Nothobranchius furzeri: one gene and its partners. The main gene of each other region encodes a partner of the protein of the gene in region 4 in a complex. Links are inferred from orthologs where the notes say so. Each region holds a gene or a part of one and is shown on either strand. Other genes may lie near its edges. The genes, in order: gemin5, gemin2, strap, gemin4 and snrpg.

Evidence for each region.
Region 1: gemin4 (region 4) and gemin5 share a complex: the UniProt entries of both Homo sapiens proteins name them as parts of the SMN-Sm complex. The link is inferred for Nothobranchius furzeri from reciprocal best matches to the Homo sapiens genes GEMIN4 and GEMIN5.
Region 2: gemin4 (region 4) and gemin2 share a complex: the UniProt entries of both Homo sapiens proteins name them as parts of the SMN-Sm complex. The link is inferred for Nothobranchius furzeri from reciprocal best matches to the Homo sapiens genes GEMIN4 and GEMIN2.
Region 3: gemin4 (region 4) and strap share a complex: the UniProt entries of both Homo sapiens proteins name them as parts of the SMN-Sm complex. The link is inferred for Nothobranchius furzeri from reciprocal best matches to the Homo sapiens genes GEMIN4 and STRAP.
Region 5: gemin4 (region 4) and snrpg share a complex: the UniProt entries of both Homo sapiens proteins name them as parts of the SMN-Sm complex. The link is inferred for Nothobranchius furzeri from reciprocal best matches to the Homo sapiens genes GEMIN4 and SNRPG.

The regions. Positions count from the first base shown.
Region 1 is NC_091750.1:72,365,782-72,369,292, reverse strand, and holds part of gemin5 (gem-associated protein 5), read right to left. Parts: intron 3,022-3,511; coding exon 2,882-3,021; intron 2,787-2,881; coding exon 2,615-2,786; intron 2,545-2,614; coding exon 2,347-2,544; intron 2,232-2,346; coding exon 2,175-2,231; intron 2,091-2,174; coding exon 1,959-2,090; intron 1,868-1,958; coding exon 1,772-1,867; intron 1,700-1,771; coding exon 1,562-1,699; intron 1-1,561. UniProt on the Homo sapiens protein: The SMN complex catalyzes the assembly of small nuclear ribonucleoproteins (snRNPs), the building blocks of the spliceosome, and thereby plays an important role in the splicing of cellular pre-mRNAs.
Region 2 is NC_091758.1:40,480,317-40,484,517, forward strand, and holds the start of gemin2 (gem-associated protein 2), read right to left. Parts: upstream 2,809-4,201; 5' UTR 2,688-2,808; coding exon 2,566-2,687; intron 2,489-2,565; coding exon 2,407-2,488; intron 2,309-2,406; coding exon 2,219-2,308; intron 2,113-2,218; coding exon 2,026-2,112; intron 1,868-2,025; coding exon 1,751-1,867; intron 1,509-1,750; coding exon 1,464-1,508; intron 1,393-1,463; coding exon 1,324-1,392; intron 1-1,323. UniProt on the Homo sapiens protein: The SMN complex catalyzes the assembly of small nuclear ribonucleoproteins (snRNPs), the building blocks of the spliceosome, and thereby plays an important role in the splicing of cellular pre-mRNAs.
Region 3 is NC_091741.1:63,716,483-63,720,732, reverse strand, and holds the start of strap (serine-threonine kinase receptor-associated protein), read right to left. Parts: upstream 2,802-4,250; 5' UTR 2,507-2,801; coding exon 2,395-2,506; intron 1,042-2,394; coding exon 906-1,041; intron 98-905; coding exon 16-97; intron 1-15. UniProt on the Homo sapiens protein: The SMN complex catalyzes the assembly of small nuclear ribonucleoproteins (snRNPs), the building blocks of the spliceosome, and thereby plays an important role in the splicing of cellular pre-mRNAs.
Region 4 is NC_091753.1:62,516,156-62,520,169, forward strand, and holds the start of gemin4 (gem-associated protein 4), read left to right. Parts: upstream 1-1,203; 5' UTR 1,204-1,299; coding exon 1,300-1,309; intron 1,310-1,642; coding exon 1,643-3,607; intron 3,608-3,696; coding exon 3,697-3,853; intron 3,854-3,926; coding exon 3,927-4,014. Other genes in the region: dhrs13b.2 (tapasin-related protein), read right to left, coding at 77-352, 427-603, 708-753. UniProt on the Homo sapiens protein: The SMN complex catalyzes the assembly of small nuclear ribonucleoproteins (snRNPs), the building blocks of the spliceosome, and thereby plays an important role in the splicing of cellular pre-mRNAs.
Region 5 is NC_091755.1:44,512,079-44,516,203, reverse strand, and holds the start of snrpg (small nuclear ribonucleoprotein G), read right to left. Parts: upstream 2,809-4,125; 5' UTR 2,688-2,808; coding exon 2,656-2,687; intron 2,480-2,655; coding exon 2,457-2,479; intron 1-2,456. UniProt on the Homo sapiens protein: Plays a role in pre-mRNA splicing as a core component of the spliceosomal U1, U2, U4 and U5 small nuclear ribonucleoproteins (snRNPs), the building blocks of the spliceosome.

The DNA of each region.
Region 1 (3,511 bases), on a different chromosome or scaffold from region 4:
TTGATATTCATAAGTGACAACTAATGAAAACTCCACATTTGGTATCTCAAAAAATTAGAATATTCTGAAAAGGCTGAATATAGAAGACACCTGCTGCCACTCTAATCAGCTGATTTACTCAAAACACCTGCAAAGGCCTTTAAAAGGTCCCTCAGTCTTGTTTTGAAGGCACCACAATCATGGGGAAGACTTCTGACTTAACAGCTGTCCAAAAGACAATCATTGACACCTTGCACAAGGAGGGCAAGACACAAAAGGTGATTGCTAAAGAAGCTGGCTGTTCGCAGAGCTCTGTGTCCAAGCACATTAACAGACAGGCGAAGGGACGGAAAAAATGTGGTAGAAAAAAGTGTACAAGCTCTAGGGATAACCGCACCCTGCAGAGAATTGTGACGACAAACCCATTCAAAAATGTGGGGGAGATCCACAAAGAGTGGACTGCAGCTGGAGTCAGCGCTTCAAGAACCACCACGAGGAGACTCATGAAAGACATGGGATTCAGGTGTCGCATTCCGTGTGTCAAGCCACTCTTGAACAAGAAACAGCGCAAGAAGCGTCTCGCCTGGGCCAAGGACAAAAAGGACTGGACTGATGCTGAGTGGTCCAAAGTTATGTTTTCTGATGAAAGCAAGTTCTGCATTTCCTTTGGAAATCAAGGACCCAGAGTCTGGAGGAAGAGCGGAGAAGCACAGAATCCACGTTGCATGAGGTCCAGTGTAAAGTTTCCACCGTCAGTGATGGTGTGGGGTGCCATGTCATCTGCCGGTGTTGGCCCACTCTGTTTCCTGAGGTCCAGGGTCAATGCAGCCGTCTACCAGGAAGTTTTAGAGCACTTCATGCTTCCTGCTGCTGACCAACTTTATGGGGATGCAGACTTCACCTTTCAACAGGACTTGGCACCTGCACACAGTGCCAAAACCACCAGCACCTGGTTCAAGGACCATGGTATCCCTGTCCTTGATTGGCCAGCAAACTCGCCTGACCATAACCCCATAGAAAATCTAGGGGGTATTGTGAAGCGGAGGATGCAATACGCTAGACCCAACAATGCAGAGGAGCTGAAGACGACTATCAGAGCAACCTGGGCTCTCATAACACCTGAGCAGTGCCACAGACTGATCGAGTCCATGCCACGCCGCATTACTGCAGTTATTGAGGCAAAAGGAGCCCCGACTAAGTATTGAGTGCTATACATGCACATTCTTTTCATGTTCATTCTTTTCAGTTGGCCAACATTAGAGAAACAAACATTTTTTCATTGGCCTTTAGAATATTCTAATTTTCTGAGATACCAGATTTGATGTTTTCATTGGTTGTCACCTATAAATATCAAATTTAAATGTAATGAACATTGGAAATACATTGGTCTGTGTGCATTGCATGAATATAATGTACAAGTTTCACGTTTTGAATGGAATTACTGAAATATTTTCAACCTTTTGATGATATTCTAATTTACTGGCCAGCACCTGTAGGCTCTTTAAATGTAAAAACCAAAGTTCTTTCAGATTCGATCGACCAGCACCGAGAAGTTCTGGGTCTGAGGGCTTTCAGTTGTTACCCATGGGGGCGATGGACAGCAGGTGGTCGTTCAGCTCGCCCCTCTCTGTGGCAAGCTGCAGCGCCCCCTCCAGGTCTCCAGTCCAAAGGCGCAGGTACACCACCGAGTCGTAGTGACCTGCCTCGATGTGGGCGTCCTCTGAGGAGCAGGAAGTGGAGTTCAGACGCATGAAAAACGTTCCTGTTAGTAAAAGCAGGAGGAAGAACCGACCTTCTGCCTGGAACATGCGGTACAGCGCCGGTCGGTCGTGGAACAGGCCCAGATGGAGGTGGTCCCCCTGACCCGGGACACAGCCTGCAGGAGGGGCTGGAACACACACACACACACACACACACCTCCTGCCTTCAGTAAAAGCATCACCATGACCACGAGCAGCGAGCACCACCCGGCTACAGACCTGCACCCCCCGGGTGTCTGACGGAGGCCAGTGTGAGGACGTCCTGCAGCAGCTCCTCTCTGGGCCGGTGGTCCATGGAGGTGCTGAGGGGCAGCATGGAGCGGGCCTTCTTCTTCTTCAGAACCAGGAGATCTGGAGAAACCAAGAGCTGCTGATCAGGACCAGAACCAGTCTACTGGGCCGGAACCCAGCTGGGACCTCAGTTCAGACAAAAACCTGGTTTTTCTTTACTTTTCGCAGCAGGAATTGAGTTTTTTTGCGTCTCAAAATTTGCTGAAAGAGAAAAAAATTCTTTTATTTTTCCACAGAATTTTTTAAAATATCATTTTTAAACTAAAGTTTAAATGAAATTCTTTTTCCACTGAAACCAGAACCGACTTGTTTCTACCTGTGGTCACCTCCTGGTTCTGTGTGGATCGGACCTCCTCCTCGTCCTCAGACAGCTCCTTCTCAGTCGTCATGGTTACTCCTACAACAGAATCTCCGTTCATGTTCGGCGCCGTGGCTCCTCCGGACCCGTTCTTGCTCTTTTTCTTCTGCTGTTTGGAACGGGCCCGCTTCTCCTGCATCATGACCTTCTTCTTTCCTGAGATGACACCACAGACAGTTCTGGCTTGGTCTGTTGGATCTGAACCAGAACCCAAATCCGGGTGTACCTTTGGGGGGTTTGGTGAATTCCTGTTTGGAGACCTTCCACTCGTGCACGGTGAAGTCCCTCCCTCCGGTCCAGATCCCATCTGGGTCAACGGGTGACCAGTCGACACACAGCAGGTAGCCGTTGTGACCGCGGTAGTTGGAGATGGCAGCCTCCTCCAGAACATCCCACACCTGCAGGAACCAGAACCAAACAGAACTTTTACAAGCTTAGAGCAGAAAGCCGTTCCAAGCGGGAACGTCTCCGTGCAGCTTTTCCAGCTGCTGACCTGGGCGGTGCCGTCGTAGGAGACCGTGACCAGCCGGCCGCTGTGATGCGGACTCCACGACATCCCCGTGATTTTAGCCGTGTGGCCGGATAACCGACGATAGGACTCGGTCAGAACCGCCGGCTCCTCTGGAGGATTCTCTATGGAAAAACGGATCAGAACGTTAACATCCAGCGTGTCTGATTCTGTTTCTACTGCACACTCCATGTTCGCTTCCCTCTTTATTATTATGTTCATGTTCATGTATTTAGCAGACGCTTTGGTCCAAAGCGGCTTACAAGTGATAATCGGCATGTTGCCCTTGAGCAGTGGTCTGCAAATGGCGGCCCGCGGGCCACGTCCGGCCCGCAAGCCCTCTCTTTGTGGCTCCGCCCACCCCCACCCCCGACCGGGAGGTTTAGGACAGAGCTGAGGAAAATAATCAAATAATCAATGCATGAGATGCGGGCATAAACGGTTTTGCATCACAGAAGAGTGCCATAATCAATTATAGTGGAATGTAGTTGTGTTATTTTAACGGCGGTGGTGCTGAGCGCTGGAGTTATAACCTGAGACCAAACCCGAATCGAATCAGCCCGACCGGTTCTGTTGGATTTGGGCCGTAAATTATGTTAGTTGAGCGGGTTGTCG
Region 2 (4,201 bases), on a different chromosome or scaffold from region 4:
TTTATTAAATCGGAATATTTAAAGGAATCTTTGCTCGTTCAATAACCAAATTTACACCATTCTGTGTTTCATTTCAAAGAAGAGTCAGGTTTAAAAAGTTAAGAATTTATAACGAACAATTTAAAGATGACAATTTATAACAGCTTTGATATTAAAACTTGGTATTAAAAGCAAACCTGTGTCTGGATGAAAGCTAAAATGAAATGCGTGTGTTGGATGTGTGACTGGAATCTCAGAAGGTTTCTTTCAGAGAGAAACGCGTTCTGGGTGAAAGAGTTTGTTTTGCAGCTAACTAAGTTGTTTCTTAGAGATGACAGCATCAGACGCAATCTGTGTTCTACCTCACCCATCAGGCGACCCTCTGTGTGGATCCGGAGGTCAAGGAAGGATGTTGTCAGCCTCTGGGTACTCGGTCCGGTAGGGAAGGCGCGAGTGGTACCGACTCTCTGGTCCAAGAGTTGCCGCTGGCACACAGGTGTTGAGTTTGCGTCTTAACTCTGAAGGAGTTTTGTGTCAGCTGGTGCAGGTGGCGTTTATTCGGAGCGATTCTATCAGCGTGACAGAACAGCTTAGTGGAGGCTTCGGGCGGCCGACCCTTGTCCTCTGGGACTCTCGTGCCACGGAGAGGTTTTGGTTGGTTCAGAACTGTCAGCTTGAACTGAGGAGTTTTGGGTTTTATTAAAACTCAGAACACGCCCTCTCAGAGATAGAAAGCTTTGGTTATGGAGCAAAGACATGTGAGGTGGTTACCTTTACCCTGAATTCAGTGTCCTGCATGGTGTGTATAAGTGTACATGACCTTCTTTACACTGGTAAACATTACTGATTATCATAAATAATAATTATTAACCAAAGAATAATAATTCATTTCAGTAATTAAATACATTTATAATGAACCGTGATGATTATTTATGAACCTTGTAATAAACAGTGAAAAGAGTTTATTAAAAATGATTATTTTAAATCTTGAAGTGTCCTTCATCTTAGGATGGAACAGCAGACAGATTAAAGGCAGTCAGATTAAAGATGGTTCTAGAAGACTGTGCGTCTCCTGTGATGGATAATCTGTGGACAGAAGTTCAGCCAGGACAGCGTGACCTAGCTGGGGAAGTGTGACCTTTGGGTCACAAATATGGCCATTCATGTCGCTACATGTATGCAGTGTGTAAAACTGTTCCTACGTGCAGATCTGTGCATAAGTTTGTTTGATGAATGAGGGCCCTGGAGTTCTAACAATTTATTTTCGTGCGAAAATTTAAAAAACTATATTTCCACTAGCATTAGATTTGTTGTCAACCAGCTGGAGACGAGAAGCAAACTCACCAGCTGTGGAACAAACTCTCGCTCTTCAAACCAGCTGATCAGAACATCTAACAACATGAGAACTGTGGACTGAGACAAAAATATTAAGACTGTTAAACTGGCTAAAAACAACATGGATGTCATCGTAGACCCCCGTTTACCTGGTTTAGTCTGCTTACGATGCTCAGGAAGGGAGGGAAGCCAATCTAGACCCAAACAAACCATCAGTGAGACTTCACTTCCTTGGTCTCATGAAGGTGCCACAGAATTTTCATGAGTGGCGGATCATCAAAGGATTAAATAAATACACTTTATCTGTTTAGATTGTTTGCTTTTGTGGGAGAAGTAGAATGTGGAAACATCTCAGCTTTGATCGATTTAAATCAGGTAAACTCATTCTGAGGAGTAAGCGCTCACAAAGGCAATAAGGTGTAAACAGTTGTATAACCTTGCCGTAGTCCAATGCTGGTTCTTGGTGTGCATCCGTCGGGCCGGATGAAGTTCCCTGATAAACGTTCTCCCCTAAACAAAACCTCTTCCAGCCCTCCTCATCGGTCAGCCTCGGCTGTAAGACACCAGCGTCAAGCTTGCATAAACCAAACCTCCAGTGTGATGCTGCATGACAAGATTCTTACAGGTGCTTCAAATCCACCTTAACATGGGATTTCTGTCTCCCCTTGAAAGAATGCTGATTTCGGTTTGAGTAGTGAATAAAAATCTCACCATCTGCACGTTGTCATCCAGAATTTGGCTCCTCCAGTGTTGCCTGTTCTTGGTGATGCTCTGAGAAACAAAAGTGACTAAAGGACACTGTCCAGTGTGGACATGTTCGTAACGTGTGTTACTGTGTGGACATGTTCGTAACGTGTGTTACTGTGTGGACATGTTCGTAACGTGTGTTACTGTGAAGTCTCACCTGTCTGACGTCAGAGAAGTTACTGACTTGCTGCTGTTGCCACCTGAGGCTGGGGGAGAAGCCCTGAGGAGCAGCATGACATCCTGCTACCTGGAACCAAAACATGTTAAACATGTGGTGTGTGTGTGTGTGTGTGTGTGTGTGTGTGTGTGTGTGTGTGTGTGTGTGTGTGTGTGTGTGTCACTTACCGACACATTAACAGTTTGCTTCTTCAGTTTTGTGGGATCGATCTGAGCAACGACCACCTCCGGGCATAAAGAGGCCTCCAACCTAATGAAACACCAAACTTATAAAGCTCCGTGGTCGAACATGGTTCTGATTCTCGAGACGGTTCGGCTCGAACATACTGGACCTGTCGGAGGTACTCCTGGGGGTTTCTGGGGGTTCCACTCAAGTCCAGGTTTCCGCTCCCGCCTCCGGTCTCCAGCGGCAGGAGCCTCGGCATTAACTCCTCCACGTCCGACTTCATGTTCTAATAAAGTAAAAGAACAGCGGAACCGAATCAGGTAATGAAAAACACGCAAGTTTCACTACAGCACAGTCGCCATCTTCTTCTTCTTCTGGTGTTTTATTGGCGGTTGGCGAACAACGAATGGTGCATTACCGCCACCAACTGGTGTGGAGTGTGGTCTGGAACAGCGCTCATAAAACAAAATCAAACACGGGAAAGAAAGAACAAAAAAATACATATATATACACACACATACATACACATATATATACAAATACATATATACATCAAATTCTCCCAAACATCCTTATCTCTTTTAAAAACTGAAATAAAATCAGAAAACAGTCGCTTTTTGAATTCTGTCGGTCTAGTTTCACTTTGATCTGTCTAAGATTTTGAATCAATGTCCTTCTTCCTGCCTGATACTTCCGACATTGTAATATAACATGAACTATAGTTTCTTCTTCTCCACAATAATCGCATTTCCCTGTATTATGTTTCCCCATCATGAATAACGTATTGTTTAACCCAGTATGTCCAAACCTCAGTCTAGAAATGATCACCGCCTCTCTCCTACTCCTTCCAGTGTTTCTTATTTCTCCTACTCTTCTTTGAATTTTATACAACCATCTTCCCCTCCTTTCCTCCTCCCATTGTTTTTGCCATTTTTTCTTCATTTCTCGCCTTTTTATGCTCTTCATCTCTTTCTGACAAAATCGAACATCTAACTGAACCGAAGTATTTATTGTAGCTTCCTTAGCCATCTTATCGACTCCTTCATTTCCACTGATTCCACAACGAGCTGGAATCCATAAAAAATGTACTTTAAGTCCCATCGTGTTTATTCTATAAAGTGTTTGCTGAATCTCTAGGAGTATGTCTGGTCTGCTTCCTGAATGGCTGCACGTTAAACTGGTTAATGATGAGCTGGAGTCTGAACAAATAACTGAGAATAATGGTCTGTTTTCTTCCACCCATCGAACTGCTAACAGGATTGCGAGAATCTGTATAAATTTTTACATAGTTATAATAGTGATCGATATAATCCTGTGCTGTATGTGAGTTTAGTATGAAAGACTTATCCATATTCTTTCTCTCTAATAATGATAAATCAACAGACGCCTCAGGAAGAATCCATGGCGGAACAGCAGGTAATGGAACTCTTTGACTGATTGTAAACCGATCTCATTTAAGTTCTACTGGTTTTTTGATCATCACCCATCCAAAACTTGTTGTTTCCTTCTTTTCTTTCTCCCAGCAAGGTTTTGGTATGTCTCGTGTTGGATGATCTTCTTCCTGACCCTGAAGATTTGCCCAATAATTTAAAGCTATTCGTTCTCGTCTGATTGCTATTGGCATCTCACCCGTCTCTACCTGTAACGCTGCTATTGGGGTTGTTTTAAATGCTCCAGTACAGAGTCTCTGTGCCTGATTCTGGATAGAATTTAATTTTGAAAGAGTAGTTTTTGCTGCTGAATTATATGCCACACACCCATAATCTAATACTGATCTGATCAATCCATTATATATGG
Region 3 (4,250 bases), on a different chromosome or scaffold from region 4:
CTAAGCAAAACTGACCTGAGTGAAGTTGACAGACTTCACAATGTGCTTGTGTGCCAGTGAGAGGACCTCGTCTCCACTTACGGCATCCCACACCTTCCTGGAAAGCAAAATGTTCACCATTATAGATTTATAGTAGCCTGGCAAGCCATCCTATATGCACAATTATTTTGCTTCGACAAATGACTGTCTTCTAGATTCTAGGCTAGATGTATAGTAGTTTATCGAATAAATGAAACTAAACATTTAATAGAAAACACGTAACAGAAACAAAGAAAGGTTGGTTTTCTTTTTTTTTAAAACACATGCAAAACAGATCGTTTTTCTTCACCAGGACTTTGAGGATGCTGCTGGTGGGAATTTTAGCATGATTTAAACACGTTTTTTTTTTTTCCTGAAATGTTAAAATTAAGAGTTACTCTGAAAACAAGATCATTTTTATGACACAAGGTGAGATCTTGCATGGAGCCCAAGGTTGAGGGAGATTGTGAGTGATCTTGTATTTTTTTTTTCATTTTGTAACAGTTGATCTTCTTTCACCTAGGTGCACCACTTGCACCAAGTGACTTGCTGTATTTTTCTGTTTTGAGGTTTCTAAGATAACACATAAAGAACAAGAAAAAAGTTAAGAAGCTATGATTTGTCTGGTAAATGGGATAGTGAAATTCTTTTTCAGTGGTTCAGTTTACTTCCTTTTTGAAATATGTATGTCCAACAATCTCAATGAGTCCAAACGCACATTTGCAGAGTGTGTGAGTGAAGGGGAGTAGAAAGAGAATATATTATTAATAAAAGACAACTTGTTTTTACAGCTAAACGTTTTAAGAGTGTTAAAAACAAGAAAAAAGTGCATTTTCCAACAAAATTCAAATCATGCATCTCTACATCGAGAGCTGAACCCCACTCACGCTGTGAAGTCTGCAGCAGCTGTGGCTGCCTTGGTGGCGTCTGTATTCAGAGTGGCTCCCCAAACCGCACCTTTGTGACCCAGAAACGTTCCGATCCAGTCCCCTGTGTCTCCCTGGCGCAACATGGGCTTGCCATCTAACAAAAGGAAGAAGGGGATGGTGATGTACTTGTTAAAACTCCCATGAAAAGATCATTAATATGAACTTTCTCAAGACATTGAGTGGCTTTCAAGCAGCTGGTGTAAAATGTTAAAAATCAGTTTTGTATTAATCTGAGCTGAGAAACTGGGTGTTTCTCAAGGTCAAGGAACCTCGCCTTGATGCCTTGGTCCCAGCCCAGTTGCCTAAGAGATACGTCATCAGGAACCGCCAAGACGTGTTCCAATGTTCATGTGCTACAGAGGCGTCTGTCCTTCGTTTGTCCGCCGTTTAGCTAACTGACTGAGAATACATGGGAGGTGTCTTGTTGCCTTCTCTGACTGAAACATTTCTCAGAATACACCACAGTATTTTCAAATGAATGGCGGATCAGGAGCCGGCAGCTACTTCAGGGGCAAATTTCCAGTTTAAATGCAAGTCAACTAATTGTAGCTATCAGGCTGATATCTGAAATATTTTTTTAGATTCAAAGCAATTATCTATGGTTGGTCAGTTGCTTTGCAGTTGCAGATTCGGTGGCAAGCGGGTAGTAACTTGCTTACATATTTAATTTAACCAATATATACATAATTTAAAAAAGTTAAAGGCTAGTTATACATATATATAAATCTAACTTTACCTCACATGTCACATGACGTGATGGCGGGTCACGTGAGATAAGTCTGTTCCATGTAACCGTTTTCTTTAATCCTTGCAGGACAGTGTCCTCTTAAGCACTGAGAAACAGCCACTGCCTTAAATTATATAGAATGTGTAAAGAGGACCAAACTCAACAAATGTTAAAGCTGCTAGCAGAGGCTTATTAGGGGCACCATGGTAACCATCAGTAGCTTATTACTTTCGCCATGGTATTCACCTTCCCGTTTCCCTCACTCCCTGACAGAACACTTGGTGAGGGTCATATGGCTATTCTGACAGAAAGGGAAGCCTAAGACGAATGGTGATGATTTTACTGTTTTTTTTTTTTTTTTTTTGTAATGGAAGAGAATTTTTCAGGTAAAAATTATCTCCACTTTTTGCTTGGAAACAAGTAGGTGAACACAGAGGAAAACTCCTACACGATGACAAATTTGTATTTATATAAAGTTGTGAAAGAAATGTGATTCTTCAAAGAATGAAACCAGATCGTGAACTGAACACATCTGAGGTGATTCAAGTAATGCAGATAGGATTTTCATAAAAAAAGACATCTGAAATAAATCGTTACAAAGTTTCTTTTGAGGCGCAGGTAAGTCAGGGACCAAAGTGAGAGAAGTCTGTGTGAGTGAGACAGGTAAATGAAGATCCTGAGCAGGGCAGCACCTTGGATTTGGACGGCTTGAGGACTCACCTTTGCAGGCGCTGATGAGGAAGTAGCCAAAAGGAGTGATTCCACTGAAAGCCAGGTCCACCACAGGCCGGGTGTGACCGGAGCAGGTGAGAGGGGTCTGTCTCATCGCCATGCTCCTCCAGCTGGACAGAGGACAGAAGACCGAAAGAGGAAGAGTTAGCTGGTCGCTAACGGCTGGCTTACAAGCTAGGTCGGCTAACCAGTAGCCGAGGAATACGAAACGTCTAATTGGCGCGTTGTTATCAAAGCTGTAACGTCCTGCCGTTGTCTGTTAATTAATCTTTTAACAGCCGAGAATTCAAAGTTATTCTGACCAAATGTCGGCTCTCCCCCAGCAAAAGAATGGCTGTCGTGCTAATAGCTACAACATTGCAACTAACTAGCAACGTGCACTGCAGCGTCACAGTGACAGTGTAGTAAAAGAGTTGACGTAACGTAAGCGTGCGGTGCGACCCGTCGCCGCCATATTGTCAGAGTCATTTGGTAAAGCGCACACAGCTGAAAGCTGAGTCTGATTAAAAGTTCTCGACAGAGATACAACATTCCCGTTCTTCTGGCGAACATATATGACTGTGCGAAGGAGTGGGAGCTGTTTGAGCTGTAGTCTGGAAAACTGGGATTTAAAATTGGAATATTGCAGGAATGAATTGTGCTGCTTTGGAATGAAATAAAGTGGCAGGAAAAATAAAGTTTAGACACAGCAGTATTAGAATATGCATTAATGTAGTCAGTAATAATAATAATAATAATAATAATAATTATTATTATTATTATTATTATTATTAGTTCTCAAAATACATATATCATATTTTCCCGGTATTATAAACAGTCTGATCAGTTTTTCATATTCCCCATTTCATTTTTTTTCTACAGTAGGACTAGCCTGGCCTGCCAGACTCTGTGCAGAATTAAACAGAGGAGGAGTATGGCAGGCCAGGCTACAGTAGAAAACCATGAAGTCAGAGACCCATAATAAGCTTGTTGGATCCAGATTTTACACTTTAAATACAAAATAACCCAGTCTGGTTCTAATCCACCTACTACATTATATCAGGTATTTATTCAGTCTGCTGTTTATGTCTCAAAAACTTTAATTTCAAGGATCAGTGTATGTGACAGTGTGAGTGTCCTGTCACAGTGTCACGATTGATCATGTGCCCTGGCTACTTGACATAGGGGATGTCCTTTTGGCTGACTGGTATGAGTGCGTGACTCTCACCCAGGAGCCTGGGGATCAAATCCCGCCCGGGCCCTCATTTCTCCACCCTGCCACATTTATAACATTGTCTGTGGAGGTAAAAATAGCAATATTCTGTACTGTAGAAATAGAAACACGTATGGATTAATCATCAAATGATTTACATCCTGGTGTCTTCAGGGCAGTGCTCTCTCAATCTCTGGTCCTGGAGCTCTTCCATCCAGCATGTTTTAGTTGTTTCCCTGCTCCAGCACACCTGATTTGATGGCTGATACCAGTTCAGAAGACCATCAAGCCTCTAAGCAGGTCATGTGTATTAATTAATTTAGTTCAAATAGATAAATACAATAAAGTTGTTTCTGCATTAATCTGGCCTTGGAGAAGAGTATAGCACCTATGGGTCTGGCAGAATAAAACAGATGTTCTTCACCGACTTTCAGGTGTGAGAACGGAGAATGCCAGAGTCTGTGAAAATCCCTCCCCAGATGTGTGTGTGTTTATTTATGTGTTTAATAAATATTAGCTTATCTCTCAAGAGTAGTTTTTTTGGGGGGGGGGGGGGGGGGGGGGGGTTCCCACTCGGTGCTAGTATCCCTAGTTCAAAAGTGAGTGTCTCTAAGAGTTACATTGCAATATCCGGACTGTTTTACAAGTGTCC
Region 4 (4,014 bases):
AAAGACAGAACACAGAGAAACACCATCAAAGAACCAGAACTGGAGCTGTTGGCATTATGGAGTGAAACTAACTGACCTGATGTAGTGAGCATCTGTCCATCAGTGATGGGAACCCAGCTGAGGTAGTCCTGCTTTCCTGGTGGAGGCTGGTCAGACGGGTGTCTGAGGAAGCCGAGCACAGTGAAAAGGCCCTGGTTGTGTTTGAGAGAGACGGAGAACCAGTGGTTGTACTCCCTGGCCTTCTGACTGGGCCAGTGGACATAGATGCCCTGTGTGCTGTATCTACGCAGCTCACACTCCAGCTGTTCTGCCTCCACTCCCTCCACATAGTGCCGCATGTCCACCTTGGACCCTGCAGCAGAACACAGAAGAGTAAGGTGCAACCGTTGTCAGGTGTGTAATGGTGACCTGTGTCAGGTGGCTTACCTGTGACCTGAAAAGTGATGGTGCGTAGATCTACAGGAGCTTCTCCTGTCTGACCAAACTGCAGCACAGCATTTCTGGGGATCCGCTGGGTCTCTCTATGTCCTTCATTGTTCATAATCACCTGTTCATCTGTGAAGTGACAGGGCAGCCATAGTATCTGCTGGCTACAGTAGACCCCTGGAGACAGACCAACAACTCAAAGCAGCTGATCCGAGTGGGCTTCCTCCAAAAACACAAACTGTCCCCACACTCGCAGGGATACAAGCCTTCTGAAGACTTACCTGTCCAGATAAAACCGTAAATAAGAATCCTGCAGGGTGGAACCATGGTTATTCATCAGATCTACTGATCCTTGTTCCTGCTTCATTCAGCTGCACATTTATTCTCAGAACACTTTCGCTTTCATTTACAACGAAAAAAAACCTGCTTTGCATGCAGCTGCATCACGTGACGAGCAGAGACAGTTTCACAAGGAGAAATACTGCAAAACACTTTTAAATGTCACTAAAAGCGAGTAACGTTTAAACCATCACACGTAGGGCTGAACCGGTGTTCCGGTCTGGCGGCAGCACTGGTGAACGCGGTGTCTAGTCAACAACGCAAAACCTCGCAACAGTAAAAACAAACCAGTCAACAATCCAACAGAAAAGGCGAGGAAAACAACAACAACAACAACAATAACAACAAGGTGAAGCAGGTTTGGCGGTTTGCTGGGTTAATGCGGCTGCAGTACCGTATCTATCCAGGGGTGGCGCTGTGGGGACGCCTCGCCACCTGACAGCAGCCCGGCTTCCTGCTGGAAACCGGAAGCGCCTTTCCTGGTAACGAACTGGTTCACGAGGCGGGCGGGTGTATGTTCCTGCCTCCGCAGCCATGGACAAAGGTAATTATTAATGTTAGACATGTCTCGTGAACTTGCGCGAGCTTCGTCTCCAGTCGGTAGAGACGAACATGGCGCTAAACGCTCAGGCTGAAGCAGCAAGCTGCAGGTTTGAAGAGCCCTCTCCTAGCCAGTCGTTCGTTCTGGACCTGCTTCACCTGCAGCCTGCCCCCCCTTCACACACACACACACACACACACACACACACACACACACACACACACACACGCACACACACACACACACACACACACACACACACACACACACACACACCTGGATAACGCTGATCTCGGCCCAGCTCGGGTCTCAGCCTGTTGCTTGCCTGTTTTTCAGATTCCGCCGTGCTCCAGGGAGCTTTCCTCCAGGCAGACAAACTGTGCCTCCCCTCATCCCTGTCCCTGATGCAGAAGGCGGACTGGAGTCGTGTGAAGCTCCCGATCCTGCAGGCCCTCAGAGACACCTGTGGGCTGAGCGCTCTGGCCTGGCAGAAGAAGGTTGTTTGTGTGGTGTGGTTGAAGCTGATGAGCAGTGAGGCTGAGGAAGATGTGGAGAAGGGGTGGAGGGACAACCCTTTCTTCTGCCTCCAGAACGGCCTCCCTGACGTAAGCCGGGCTGTTCTGCTGGAGCTGGTGAAGTCACTCTCAGCTGCGCCGGTCTTTGCCCGCTTGCTCCTGCGTCTGCCTCAGCAGCAGATCTGCACCGAGCTGCAAACGCTGGCAGAGCATCTGAGGACGGATCCCAGTCCTGAAGACGTCTGCTTTCTGTTGGAGGTGTGGTGGGAGCTGTGGAAAGGCAGAGACAAATGTCAGACGCAGGAAGACAAAGACTTAGAGATGATGTTTGTCAGCCAGTTTGCACGCCTGTCCTCCGATTGTCCCAGTGTCTCGCCTCAGGCTGCAAAACGCTTAAAGCTGGACCTTCCTGCATCGTCAGCAAACACAGACGTTCTGCACGTTCTCCTCCATGCTCTTAAGAACATGAAAGATCAAGTATCTACTACAGATTTGTGCCTGCAGTCCCTGTTAGTCTGCCTCGACGCTCTTTACACATCCTTCCTAACAGACCCAGAGGTTGTGCTTCCAGTTGAAGAGAAGTTGCTCATCCTCTGTAGGCTTGTTGACACCAGAGGACAGACGCAGGCGTGGAGCCCCAAACTCCTTCAGGAGGCTCTGAGAGACCTGCGTGCTGCTCACTCACCAGCTCCTTTTCAGCCCAGCAGGATGACGCTGAGCCAAGCTTTGAAGATCGTAGCAGAACTCACAGAATTCTGGCTGGAACAGGATCTCCTGAGCGCTCCTGGCTGCTCCGCGTTCCTGCTGCAGCAGAGCGTCCAGAGAGTCCTGGCAGCTCTAGAAGAAACGGGAACATCTGAGCATGTGACTGAGAAGAGCACACTCAGAGGTCTGCTGAGTTCACTGTCTCTTCCTGCCGTAGAGACCCCCCCTCAGGTGCAGGCTCAGGTCGCTGCCACCGTCATCAGTCACCGCCTGGAGGACTGTGAGGAGTTTGCTGCGCTGTTTGCCAGCCAGTTGTCCTGGACTCATGAAGAGCTGTGGGTGGACTGCCTGGAGAAGAACCACACGGCCTTCACGCAGCCCAACACCCTCATCAGCCTCTCCTCCACCCTCGTGAGTCGCCTGCAGCGTGGGAACGTGAACACCACCTGGTGCAGGAGAGCCATTAAAACGGCTGCAGATGTCTTCTCTGCTCTTTCGTTAGAAAACCAGAACAAGGTCCTCGCTGCAGTACCGAGCCGCTCCAGCAGGGGCTTCTTTGGCTGCTCTGTCCCCTCGGCTGTGGCAGACGGCTTTGAGCAAGAGCTGAACATGGCCTTTAACTGCCTTATCCAGGGAGGGGGCGGGGCCTCAGCAGCAGTGTCCCAGGGCCGCCTGACCACAGCAGCCTCTCTGGTAGCTCGAGTGGCCTTTCAGAGCCCAGAGGCGGCTTTAAGGTCCTGCTGCCACGCCGCCGTTTTCAACAGGGGAGCCTTCAGCCTCATGGCAAAGATCCTGCAGCAGCTGCCTGGACTCCGCGGACGGAGGGGAGGGGAGGATGAGGCAAACGGAAACGATGTGGAGCAGCAGGAAGCTGGAGGGCGTGGTAGTCTGTTCTGTAGGTGTTTACAGACGGCGGTCAGAGGCAAGCCACTGTCCGCCTGTGAAAAGGAGCAGCTCCTCAAGTTCCTGTCTCTGCTCATGGCGCCGGGCCCGACGCTCCAGGGAGAGCAAGAGACACAGAGGTTCTTGTCTCCACAGGAGGTGGTCAACACACTGGTCCTGCCTCGCCTCTCAGCTGCAGGTCGGGGTCCATGCTGGCTTTAATCTCATCTGTGTGTGATCTGTAAACGCTCGTCACATTCTGCTGCTGTCCCATCTGTGTTTCTGCAGCTGAAGAGTCCTGCGATGCAGAACTGAGTCTGCAGCTCCTCCACGCTGCTTTGGCTGTGGGTGTCCAGGAAGTAGCCCCCTCCCCTCACTGGGTGTTGGACTGCTCTCCCTTCCCCCTCCTCTATATTCTGGCCCAGCAGTACAACCAGACTCTCATGTGTGTATGATCCCGTGTGTGTGTGTGTGTGCAGCGGTTGTTGTTGGGCTTCTACTCATCTGATCTCTGTTAGGTGCTGGGAGCGGTCGTCGGAGGACAGCGACCACCTGAGCTCCATGGACACCAAGGAGCTGCTGGAGTCGGTGCTGAGCTTGCTGGGA
Region 5 (4,125 bases), on a different chromosome or scaffold from region 4:
CAGTAACAACGATCTAAGTGAGACATCCTCATCTTAATCTGCTCCGGTAGGTAAATAACATGTTTAAGATAACGTTAGCTCGATATGTTAGCTTCCGTTTCGCTAATGGTGTGTTCGCTTTCTCCTCGGAACTTCGAATTTCCGACTGGAATAACATGAACGCGCTCTAAAGTTTGGCTTCACTTTACTAAATGCGACGGGTGATTGGGTGAAGATGAAACCAGCGACAACGATCTAAGTGTGAGGCATCATCGTTTTAATCTGCTCCAGCAGCTAAATAAACTGTTTAAGATAACGTTAGCTTGGTATGTTAGCTTCCATTGCCACCGTTGTTATCAGCTAATGGTGCGTTCGCTTTCTCCTCGGAACTTCGAATTTCCGACTGGAATAACATGAACGCGCTCTAAAGTTTGGCTTCACTTTACTAAATGCGACGGGTGATTGGGTGAAGATGAAACCAGCGACAACGATCTAAGTGTGAGGCATCATCGTTTTAATCTGCTCCAGCAGCTAAATAAACTGTTAAAGATAACGTTAGCTTGGTATGTTAGCTTCCATTGCTACTATTGTTATCAGCTAATGGTGCGTTCGCTTTCTCCTCGGAAATTCTAACTTCCCAGTAGGAAAAATCAAATGAAAAAGACGGCAAAAGGAATGAAGATACACAGTAAATTTAGTTCACAGTAAAGACGTTTGCTTCAGTTTAATTATCAGCTTATAAAACTACAAGGACCATGTTAAAATACAAACAGTTGTATGTTTTTTATCGTGATATTTATCAAATATGGTTATATATTGAGAAAAATATATATTTAATTATAAAAGAGAATTAAAATAATAAACACTCAAAAGTATCTAAAATTGATACCGTTAAGTACCGGTATCGATTCCTAGGTACCGGGAATTAGTACCGGATCGATTCAAATGTCAAAGGTACCCATCCCTAAGTCTGACTGAGCGCTTCCAGGAGAAATTATGAAAACAATAACGCGTGTTTGGAGCATCGGTTTAGAGGAGCGTCCTGCGATCCTCTCGTGTGAGTAGACAGTCTCTCTCTCTGATCGAGCGGAGCGCGCCACATGACAACCCGCTCAATTAACATAATTCACGGCCCAAATCCAACAGAACCGGTCGGGCTGATTTGGTTCCGGCTCAGGTTACAACTCTAGCGCTCAGCAATGCAGTACCACATCAAGGCGGAACCACGTGGTAAATGTGGAGGACGCTCACTCTGACAGATGCTGGTGCCGCCGTTAAAAAAACAAAACTACATTCCACTATAATCGATTACGGCGTACTCTTCTACGATTTATGTCCGCATCCCGATGCATCGATTATTTTCCTCAGCTCTAATTTGAATGCAGGAAAAACCCTGCACAATCTTCACAGAACCCCTGCAAACCAAGCTATTTACCCCAATTATGCAGCTAAATAAACAAAAGTAAATACAAACATTTAAAATCTAACCAAACATTAGCTGACATGCCTAAAAAATGATTTTACACCAACAGAATGATCTCTTAAAAGTTATCAAAGAAATATATTTATTATTGCGCATGTGTATACTCACAATTGCCTATCCCTAGACTCACTCTGTCAGTGTTTGAGGCAAGCAAACGACCGGATGCAGTCTAACTTCCTCCAGTTTAACAAAGACGAGACTGAAGTTATCGTCTTTGGGAATCAGAAGGTTAGGATGGACGTTACTGCTCAGCTCGGCTCCAGAGGAACGAAGACAAGGCAGCTTTATGTCTCGAGCACGTTTCAAACACAGAGGCAATCCTATGTGCTTTACAGTCACCAGGACATGATAAAACACTAACTACAACACACACAGATAGAATTACAGTTTAGAGCTAAAGGACAAAGACTCATAACTGATTCAGACCTGAGCTGCACCGGGTCAGAACCAAGCAGGGTGATGCTGCACACAGATGAAATCAGCTTCCCCGCGAGCTCAGATGTGCCCCATCTCTGGTCTCTTTATTCATCTTCCTGTCAGTCGTTGCTCCTCGTGCTGCACCTTCTGCTCTGGTGTTCCCAACCCTTCTCAGCCTTTTGATTTGACTTAGATGGATTTTAAATCTGCTGGTTTTTGTCAGACTTGCTTCATAGACCCAGACCAGGCTGAGCACCACGGAGGACAATGCCCTCCACCCTCTAACCTTTAACCCTACCCTGAGAGTTTAAGCACACCCCAACCTACAAGCGGCTTTTAAGAAGGACTGAAAACGTTTCTCTCTAGTAGATCTTTTATAGTAAAGCTTTTCATCTTTCATAATCAACATTTTCCTTTCCTCTAAACGCGTTGAGATTGTCGTGATGTAAAGCGCAACACAAATGCAATCGATTATTATTCCGTCACGTGGTTTTAATGTTTTAGCACCTTAAAACTATAAACTCTTCATAATCACAATAGGGGCTTTAAAGACATATTCGTAAAACGCCATACTCACATGAAAGCTTTTTATCCATGAATCTGAAACATAAAACAACATTTCAGGCGACGGTGGTTCACAGTTCAGGCAGGGTTGCTAATGTTAGCCTCATGGTAAAGAATGGAGCAAAGCTAACAGGCTAACACGTTCTTTCCGTTAAAATCGTGGAAACAAAATTAATAATTTCTAATTGTTATTTTTAAACACGTGAACTTACTTCTTCAGCTCTGGCGGGTGTGCTTTGCTCATTCTGTATCGTTTTTTGTACCGAAGTCCGGTGAGCTAGCTCGTCGGGGTTACGTTGAACAAAACCGCGGAAGGAAAATGTGACCGGAAGTGAAGCAGTTAGCGTTTACAGTCCCACTACGCCCCCTCGAGGCGGGGAGGAGAACGTGTTAGGGTTGGATCTGCAAATATCTGCAAGAACACTTTGTTTCAAACAACTTTTACAATTTTATTGTCAATCTTACAAAAAAGCAAAAGTAAACGTAAGTATTACATATTATACTGAAATGTATTTGAAATGTAAAACGATGTTAATAAGTGCATATTTTATGTTCCTTCTACCTTATTGTTTGTATTCAGTTGACCATTTATTTTGCTGTTGAACGACAGAGATGCATTGTGCTGCCTGATTTTTACCTGTCAGACCGGAGTCCCTAGCTCCCAGCAGTGTCAGCTCAACTTCGTTCTCTTCTTTTCCAGGATGGAAATCTGTTGTGCAGTTTGTATAATTTACACAATTTAACCTAATCTTTAAAGTTATTCTTTCATTTCTGTAAATTCTCATCAAGTTAAAAAGTATAGTTAAAATTAAGCAGATTCAACAGATAACAGGAAGAAGAGCTATTTTTGACAAAGTAAAAAACAACAAATAAAATTCAGTGAAACCAAGTTTGACTATGAAAACTCATGGAAGCCCACAACCAATATCTAAGAACACAATAAAACCAGATTGTGATTTCAAGAAGGCAACTGTAGAAGTCAAGTCCATTACTCGAACTCCTGAGGCTGCTAGACCGGGACCTGGTTGACGCTCTGTGTTGATCCGATGTTGACTAAATTACTTGAACAGCCTTAAGCGTGGAGTTGTTATGATAATGCTTCTTGTTTAATGTTGATTGCATTCCAGGATGTAACAATGATAGGAGTAATCCGATTACTTTCCCATTCAAACGTCTTCATGCCACAGCGGTCAAAAACCTGTTTGCCCTTCCGGAATAGTGCCTGACGCCAACAATGACATCACTACCTTTATTCCGACCAGTAACAATGACATCACTACCTTTATTCTGACCAGTAACAATGACATCACTACCTTTATTCTGACCAGTAACAATGACATCACTACCTTTATTCTGACCAGTAACAATGTGATAGAGTGGGAACTCTGGAAGTTATTTGCTGATCTGACAGTATCTTCAAGATAAGGGCTCCGGTCAGAGAGCAGGGCACGGAGAGACAGTTTTACGTATTTAATGACAGTTGAAGTATGGACATCTGTACATTTCTGTGGTTCCGTGTGGTCTGGAAAATAAATACAAAGAATGATGTAAAAGGATTGTACAAATGGTGAAGTAAATATGCCAACGTTTAAGACTAAGCAAAAACAAATATATTCCCAAATGATGCACATTCAAGGGTAACACAGAGTAAATATTGTGACTTCCAGCCTCAGAGGCACTGA